Linked DNA regions of Macaca mulatta. The protein of the gene in region 2 interacts with the protein of the main gene of each other region in a biochemical or structural test. Links are inferred from orthologs where the notes say so. Each region holds a gene or a part of one and is shown on either strand. Other genes may lie near its edges.

Evidence for each region. The genes of interacting proteins can lie anywhere in the genome.
Region 1: the proteins of NCL (region 2) and ADAP1 form a complex in vitro, tested with the Homo sapiens proteins (2 studies listed by BioGRID). The link is inferred for Macaca mulatta from reciprocal best matches to the Homo sapiens genes NCL and ADAP1.

What each region holds. Positions count from the first base shown.
Region 1 is NC_133408.1:34,898,368-34,902,510, reverse strand, and holds the start of ADAP1 (arf-GAP with dual PH domain-containing protein 1), read left to right. Parts: upstream 1-1,335; 5' UTR 1,336-1,537; coding exon 1,538-1,619; intron 1,620-4,143. UniProt on the Homo sapiens protein: GTPase-activating protein for the ADP ribosylation factor family. Binds phosphatidylinositol 3,4,5-trisphosphate (PtdInsP3) and inositol 1,3,4,5-tetrakisphosphate (InsP4). Regulates the incorporation of CD63 and CD9 into multivesicular bodies.
Region 2 is NC_133417.1:136,720,190-136,724,132, reverse strand, and holds the start of NCL (nucleolin), read left to right. Parts: upstream 1-1,134; 5' UTR 1,135-1,275; coding exon 1,276-1,293; exon of another isoform or gene 1,294-1,486; intron 1,487-2,149; coding exon 2,150-2,266; intron 2,267-3,457; coding exon 3,458-3,938; intron 3,939-3,943. UniProt on the Homo sapiens protein: Nucleolin is the major nucleolar protein of growing eukaryotic cells. It is found associated with intranucleolar chromatin and pre-ribosomal particles. It induces chromatin decondensation by binding to histone H1.

The DNA of each region.
Region 1 (4,143 bases), on a different chromosome or scaffold from region 2:
TAGGCATGAGCCACCACACCCAGCCGAACTTTTGAGTAGAATACAACCATTCAAAAAGAAAGAGTCTGGGCACAGTGCTCACGCCTGTAATCCCAGGACTTTGGGAGGCTGAGACAGGAGGATCACTTGAACCCAGGACTTCAAGACCAGCCTGGCAACATAGGAAGATCCCCATCTCTACAAAAAAAAAAAAAAAATTTTTTTTTTAGAGACAGGGTCTCCCCTCTCTTCCCCAGGCTGGAGTGCAGTGACACCATCATAGCTCACTGCAGCCTCAGCTTCTGGGCTCAAGTGATCCTCCTGCCTCCGCCTCCTGAGTAACTGGGACTCCAGGCCCCCACCGTCACACCTGGCTAAATTTTGTATTTGTAGAGATGGGGTCTTGCCATGTTGCGCAGGTTGGTCTCAAACTGCTGAGCTCAAGCGATCCACCAGCCCTGGCCTCCCAAAGTGCTGAGATTACAGCCCTTAGCCAAAACCCTGTCTCCATAAATGATTAAATAAATGAAAGGCCACAGGCCTCAGACCGTTCATTCTGGAAGGTGCTGAGGAATTGTTTGTTAATAGTGGTTGCCTGGAAGGCAGCGGGGGGAGGCTTTCCTTTTTCAGTCTGGTATGTTCTAGTTTTTTTTCAGCCGGGCGTACTGCACTAACAATATAAGAAGAAAATGGAAAGAATTTGAAAAGACGCTGGGGTGTGCAGAGGAAGGGCACCCAAGTCTGGGGAAGGCGACATCAAACCCAGGCTTTTTGTTACCTGTCAGCCCCCATGTGAAGTCCCCGCCGGGCCCCTCAGCCAGCCTGAGTGGGAGGAGTGCTCAGAGGGTCCCCTCTGTGGGTGGTGGGCAGCTGGGTGGGTCTCAGGGGGAGGCTCCCTCTGGGGCCTCTGCGGCCTCAGTGCCCTGGGATGCTGGCGTTTGTCACTTGCTGGCCACCCCTCCCAGGCAGGGATGGTGTGAGCGCCCTGGTCCCTAGCGCAGAACACACACGCCTGCCTTGCATGAGCACCCCCGTGCCCATGGTCTTGGGGGGCTCGGCAGGTGCCCTCTGCACCCCCCACAGTAGGTGTGCAGGTTCCGTCCCAGCGCGCGTGGCGGCACGAGGGTCCCATCCAGTCCGGCCAGGTTTTGGGGCGGCCTCTCGCCCAGGCAGGTGGGATGCTGCGCGCGGATGAGGGGCGGGCAGCGGGCTACTTCCCGGTGGGTCCCCGGGGCGCGCGGGCTGGGGGCGCCGGAGCGGCCGAGGGAGGAGGCCACACGCTCGCCTGCACCGCTGGGGGCCGCCCGCGGGCCTTGCCGGCCAGAGCGCAGCGTGCGCCCCGGGCCCCGCGCCGGCACTCGCTCAGCGACCGCGGCGGAGACACGAGCGGCGGCTGCGGAGCCCTGAGGGCGGCGGGAATGCGGAACCGGCGCGCGGGCTGAGGCCGCCCGGCATGGCGCAGGGGCGGCGGCGGCGGGCGGCCTGCGCGGGGCCCTAGCGAGCCGGCGGACGCTCCCGGCCCCGGCCCCGGCATCGGCATCGCGGGCGCATCGCGGCCATGGCCAAGGAGCGGCGCAGGGCGGTCCTGGAGCTGCTGCAGCGGCCGGGGAACGCGCGCTGCGCGGACTGCGGCGCCCCGGGTAGGTGTGGGCCGGGTGGGCGCGGGGCCGGGTGGGTCCCGGGTGGGCGCGGGGTGCCGGGTGGGTCCTGGGTGGGCCCCAGGGACTGGGCGGGGGACCGCGGACGCCGCGGGGGTGGCGGTGCTGAACACCCGGCCGGCGCTCGGATGGGGCCCGGGCCCGGCTGCACCTGCGGGACCCGGACGTCTCCCCGGGCCGGGCGGAGCGGGAGGCGCCCCCAGGACCCCCGGAAATCCCCCTGCCGCCGCCTCCCCTCCCCCTCCGGGCTGCGTGTCTGACGGTCACCGCGGACCGCCCGCCGCGTTGCGAAAGCTCGGGCTCCGCACAGAAAGAGGAAATCGGGGCTGGCTGCAGGGAGGGAACGGGCCGCCGGCTGGAGGGCTCTGCTGGACTGTGGGGTCCCCCGGCTCCGGGGCCACCTCGCGGTGACGTCATGCCTCACTCCCTCCCCACACCGGGGGTCCCTGGGTGTGAGCGGCGCCCCTCCCGCGGCTCCCTGCACCTGGCTGCTCCGGGGCGGGTGCCAGGACAGGTGAGGCCTGGAAGAGGTGGGGCCGGACGCAGGTCCTCGTCCACCTGCCGCCCGCCCGTTCGTTCTCCCGGCCGGGCATCCCTGACTCGGTTCCTAGGTCTGTGGGATTTCAAGGCACAGGAGTCCAAAGGCGCGGAGTCCCTCCCTTCCAGGCCACTGGTCCTGCCATTGGCTGTGAACGGGGCCCAGTGCCCAGACCAGCCCTGCCCTGCTTCGGAGCTGTCAGCCCCAGGCCGGCTGCGCTGTGGGGAGAGGGCCCTGCCAGGGCAGTCCTGCCACCCCAGGCACACCAGGAATCTGGGGGCCAATAGCCTGAGCCCCTTGGAACAAACCTAAACTCACCAAGGATGGCTGAGGTCCCCAGGGAGAGAGCGGGGGAAGACCCTGCATTTGCCCCCAAGGCCCTGGTTCAGCATGCAGTCTCTGGACACCCCGGAAATAGGATCTGATTCTCTCTGGGATGGAGGGGTCTCTGCCAGCCCCAGGTCGTGGTGGCTGCTGTCCAGCCACAGTTTGGCCCGAGAGTCCACACCAGGAGCTGGGGTGTCCCAGAGGGGAGATAGTGACAGGCTTTTCTGGAAAGACAGGCAGGACCCACGGCCTTTCCGTGGTCTCCTGAGGCAGGGCGGCTGCAGGGCCAGTGCAATGGTGTGGTGGGGGCGGCCCCCTGGGCTGGCTCGCACGAGAATCTCTGACCCCAGATCTTTATTTCCTCCTGTTCAGGAATGCTCCCCTGGAGAGTCAGTGGGAAAGGGCCTGGCCTGGGGTTGCTATGGCCCACGGGGAGGGGAGCTGGGCTTGTCTCTGAACCTCTGATTCCTGGCCACACAGCCTGGGAGCAGCTTCTCTGGACTCAGAGCCCCTCTCCAGCTGCCCTCTGGGCCTCCCAGCCTGGCAGGAGGAAGAAAGAGGGCACTTCCCTGGCCTGCTGGGCCCTTCAGTGGCCCTCCCCTCCCAGTGGGTGCAGGTGTGCCTGGCCCACCACAGAGCTGTTCTCGGCCCTCCCCCTGCCCGGTGCTGCTGGGCACAGGGCCGCACCTGTGCCTTCTCAGAATTGGTCCATGACCTCAGTGACTCGCCTCCTCTGTCGGGTAGCGCCATGGAGCGGGGATGCTGTGAGGGGTTGTTCTCATTTCACAGCCAGGGAGACTGATGCCTTGCAAACTGGAGCTGGGGATATGGGTCACACCCGGCCGCTGTGCTTGTCCCCGCTTCCCAGGGCTGTGGCCACAGGGTGGAACAGGAGGTGTCAGGAGACGGGGGGCTGCCCGGACCCCATGACCCCATGGCACACCCTTGAGGGCGCTATGCTGCTTTGCTGATGCGGCTGCTCTGGGATCTCCTGTTCCTGCTGTGGCCCAGCTGGGTGACAAGGAGCCACTCCAGTATTGATGGGGACTGGGGTGACCAGCACGTTCTGCTTTCCTCAGAACACTGTCCTGTGCACTGGCTCTCGGCTGGTGCAGACCCGGTCAGCAGGACATCAGACAGTCCCAGGCCACCTCTGAACGCCAGGCCTGTGGGTGCTGGGGTAGACTTGAGCAGGCCCCACCTACTGGCCATGTGAGGGAAGCCACATGGTCTGGGGGTCTCTGAGGCCTCCACAGAAGCTCCTTCCAAACTCTCATGATCTGTCCCACTAGTGGGTTCCCCTGACCTTGAACAGGTCCTCACCCAGCGGCCACCCAGAGAGCCTCTCCTCACAGGCCTGGCAGGTGGGCGAGTTGGGGCGTGCTTGGACCCACTGTCCTGCAAGACCTGGGTGGGGGTCTCCATCCTGGGTGGGGCTTGGGGGAGGGAGGAGGTGCCTCTGTGCATCCTTGGCACTGCCTGCCTAATTGCAACAGAGGACAGGAATCAGGCGTGGTGGCTCACGCCTGTAATCCCAACACTGGGAGGCTGAGGCGGGAGGATCGCTTGAGGCCAGGAGTTGGAAGCTGCAGTGATACACTCCATCCTAGGCCAGAGTGAGACCCTGTCTCAAAAAAAAAG
Region 2 (3,943 bases):
CTGGGACTGCGGGCCTGAGCCACCGCGCCCCGCCTGAGGTGATTTTTAACAAGTACCGCCGTAGCTGCAGGTATCCTGGTTCTGTAGGAACAATGAGGTATGGATGGATCCATACCTGGACCCATGGATTGGATGGATCCCAGGCAGGCCCTGGACGGAGGGAAATGCTCTGGTTTGCTAAGCCCGGCATCGAGGGAGGCCCACCCTCAAAGCTAACCGTGGAAGTCACTCCGGCCTCCTTCGCCCTGCCGCCGGGGAACCCTGCCGGTGGCTCTCGACCTGCTCCCGAGCCATCTGGTGACACTGACTTAGCAGCCACCACCTTAATTGGCGCATTCGACGCAAATAACAACCAGGGAACCTGTGGGCGGTCAAAGGCCCGGCTTTGCGGTCGGCCCGCCCAGGCCCCTCTCCTTGCCCTGTGAGGCCAGAAAGTTACTTCTCCGAGGCCGTTCCCCATGACGAGAAATATCTCCCGCCTGAGGTTCTGTGGGGTAGGGGAGGTTCGTGCATTTCTCACAGAAAAACCTCGCACAGACCCGCGACTGCCTTTAACGGCTCTCAGAAGACTGCCTGCAGCCGGGGGTGTCTCCAGTCCCATGCTCGCGGGCAAGCAGGGCTGAGCTGTGCCTCCGAAAGGGCCAACGGGAACTCCGCGGTCCCTGAACTTCCGGGGCTGGCGGGCTTCTTTCTCCAGGGCCACCGGGAGCGCCGGCGTGAGTGCGTGCCGGGGCCGCGCGCGGGGTCTTTGAGGAACTCCAAGGCTGCCCGAGCCTAGGGAGCCAGCCACATTGGAGATCCCTAGACCGCCCGATTCCACCACCCCCGAAGTCCCCTCACAGCCGGCGCCAAAAACGCCAGTCCCACGGCGCAGGCCGGGACCCGCGCGCCCACGGCCCAATCAGCGCCGGCCTTGCACAAAGCGAGCCCCGCCCCGACGGCACGGCTGCCAGCCCCTCCCCCTCCCGTGGCCGCCTCGGCCCGCCCACTCCCCGCCCCGCGCCGTTCTCGGTTAGAGGCTCGCGATTGGCTCAGGGGGACTGCCGCGAGCTCTGGTTGGTCGGCACGGAGTCACGAGGGCGCCGTCGTCGCCTTTCCACAGGCGATTACTGGGCAGGCTCAGTCTTTCGCCTCAGTCTCGAGCTCTCGCTGGCCTTCGAGTGTACGTGCTCCGGGATCTTCAGCACCCGCGGCCGCCATCGCCGTCGCTTGCCTTCCTCTGGACTCATCTGCGCCACTTCTCCGCTCCACACTCCGCCGCCATAAGCCGCCATCATGGTGAAGCTCGCGAAGGTAAACGGCCTTGAGCGCGAGCGCAGACGTCTAGGCCTGCTCTCCGAGGGGCGAGCGCGGCGGCGCGGGGAGGAGGGCCTGCGCGCAGTCCCGGGCGCGTTCTAGGGCGCCATGCTGCGGGAAGTCTCGCGCGATTAGTGGGGAGGTCTCGCGGCTTCTGGCTAGTTGGTGGCGAGGTGAAGAGCTTCTGCAGGTGCTGGGGGCGGCGAACGCGGCGGGAAAGACGGAGTCACTGAGCGCGGGGAGGGGGCGCTGGGCCCCGGGGTGGGGAGATGAGACCAAACTCCTGCGACGCATACGAGTCGGGACCCGACTCCTGACGCACGTGCCCGGGAGCGCGGCCTGCCACGTGGGCCGCGCCGCGTAGGTCCTGGAATCTCCAGAGGCACCGGTGCCTTGCGCCAGGAAATGGCGGTATCGGCCCTAGTCGGAGTCCTGGCCTGGCAAGCCGACACGTGGTGGGCCCCGGAAGGTGGCTCTGCCGCGTGCCTTTTGCGCCGTGTTTCGGGCACGTGGTGGCCTACCAGGTACCCCCACGTGGCCGCGCCGCCTCTTTAAGGGGCGGGGTTGTCTTGCTGGGAAAAGCATAATGTTCATGAGAAAACCAAGGTAGTTACTTCTTACCTTCGGGCGGGTTTTCTGTTTGTGAAGCCCGGGAGGAAAATTGTGGGCGGTTGAGAGTAGTCCATCTTGCATTGCCATCAGGACTCGTTTTGATGTTGTGCTGTTTGGCACTATGAGAAATGGATCTGAGAAAGGAGAGATGATGGCGTTTTACTATGAACAGTAATGGCAAAATATGAATGGCCTGAAATGTTGAGGTGGAGGTGTAATGACCTACTTGTGTCCATTTTAGGCAGGTAAAAATCAAGGTGACCCCAAGAAAATGGCTCCTCCTCCAAAGGAGGTAGAAGAAGATAGTGAAGATGAAGAAATGTCAGAAGATGAAGAAGATGATAGCAGTGGAGAAGAGGTAATTTTATCTAGCTTAATGCAGAATTGTGTTAAAACTACAACAATGGAGAGTTAAGACATGAAATTGGATGTCTGTGGCTAAAATAAGATTTTATTCATCCAGGTATGTCCTATTGTAGTGGTGGTTTCACAAGCTCTTCACTGACATGTCAAGGTGTCATTTGGCTAAGTATTTGAATGTGAGTTTGAGACAAGAGGTCTGGGGATCTCCTTTCCATGTGCCTCTGCAGGGCAAGGAGTGTGATTTGTTGTGTTAAATCATTAAATTTTTCCAGTTTCAACATGTTAGCCTCACCCCGACATGTAGAGCTGGGCATTGTATTCAGATCTGAGGATAACCTTCCCAGATTCCTTTCCTAGCCTCCAATTAAGATTAATTGGTCTCCATTCCATTATATATAAACTTTGTAATTCTACTCACTGCGTTATAGTTATCTTTGGTGTAGACTGAGGGCTGCCACCTCTTTGTGTTAACATTGACCCTCTTTACTCTTTGGCAGTCTTGGCCTTTTATTTGCTCACTGTAAAGACATCTGAGCACTGAATTGTGCTCAGGTTTTTCGTTGAGAATTGAATAAAAGTTTTATTCTTCCACACATTGCCTAATAAAACTATGGGATTTTCATGTAGCTAAACGATGGCTTTTATCAAACTAACATGCTCACTCTTTGATGTGTGATAGTTTTGTAAGGGATAGTTAGGTTTAGCCTATTTGATCTTCATTTTATCTCAGGTCCCAAGAATTGAGCTTCACTGGACTCAGTACTGCCATCCACCATAGGAGCCCCAAATGATTTAATACGTTAATGCTTGGAGCCTCCTAGGTGTAAGGTTCTGAATAATTTACGCATAGCACTTCATTATTGTTATACGTGTAATATGATACTATTACCATTTTCAGATGAGAAAGTTGGGGTTTGGGAAAATATGAGGTGCAAGAATTCAGAGGTCTGGTTCAGAGGTATTTTAAGTGTTCAAAAGGGTTCCTTATGGCTGGGTATTCACCTGATAATAAGGGCTCTGACCTAAGACAACATAACAGAAGCCTGGAGTTTAACATGCTAACATGTGTCTAGCGCATGTGGTCTTGAACCAGAAGCATTGGCAGAATCTAACACTCACTGGGACCATGGTTATCTTTTTGGGTGTGGGGCTGGACTTACTGGTTTGGTTTTCATTTATTCTCAAGGTTGTCATACCTCAGAAGAAAGGCAAGAAGGCTGCTGCAACCTCAGCAAAGAAGGTGGTAGTTTCCCCAACAAAAAAGGTTGCAGTTGCCACACCAGCCAAGAAAGCAGCTGTCACTCCAGGCAAAAAGGCAGCAGCAACACCTGCCAAGAAGACAGTTACACCAGCCAAAGCAGTTGCCACACCTGGCAAGAAGGGAGCCACACCAGGCAAAGCATTGGTAGCAACCCCTGGTAAGAAGGGTGCTGCCATCCCAGCCAAGGGGGCAAAGAATGGTAAGAATGCCAAGAAGGAAGACAGTGATGAAGAGGAGGAGGATGACAGTGAGGAAGATGATGAGGATGATGAGGACGAAGATGAGGATGAAGATGAAATTGAACCAGCAGTGATGAAAGCAGCAGCTGCTGCCCCTGCCTCAGAGGATGAGGATGATGAGGATGATGAAGATGATGAGGATGAGGATGATGACGATGAGGAAGATGGTAAG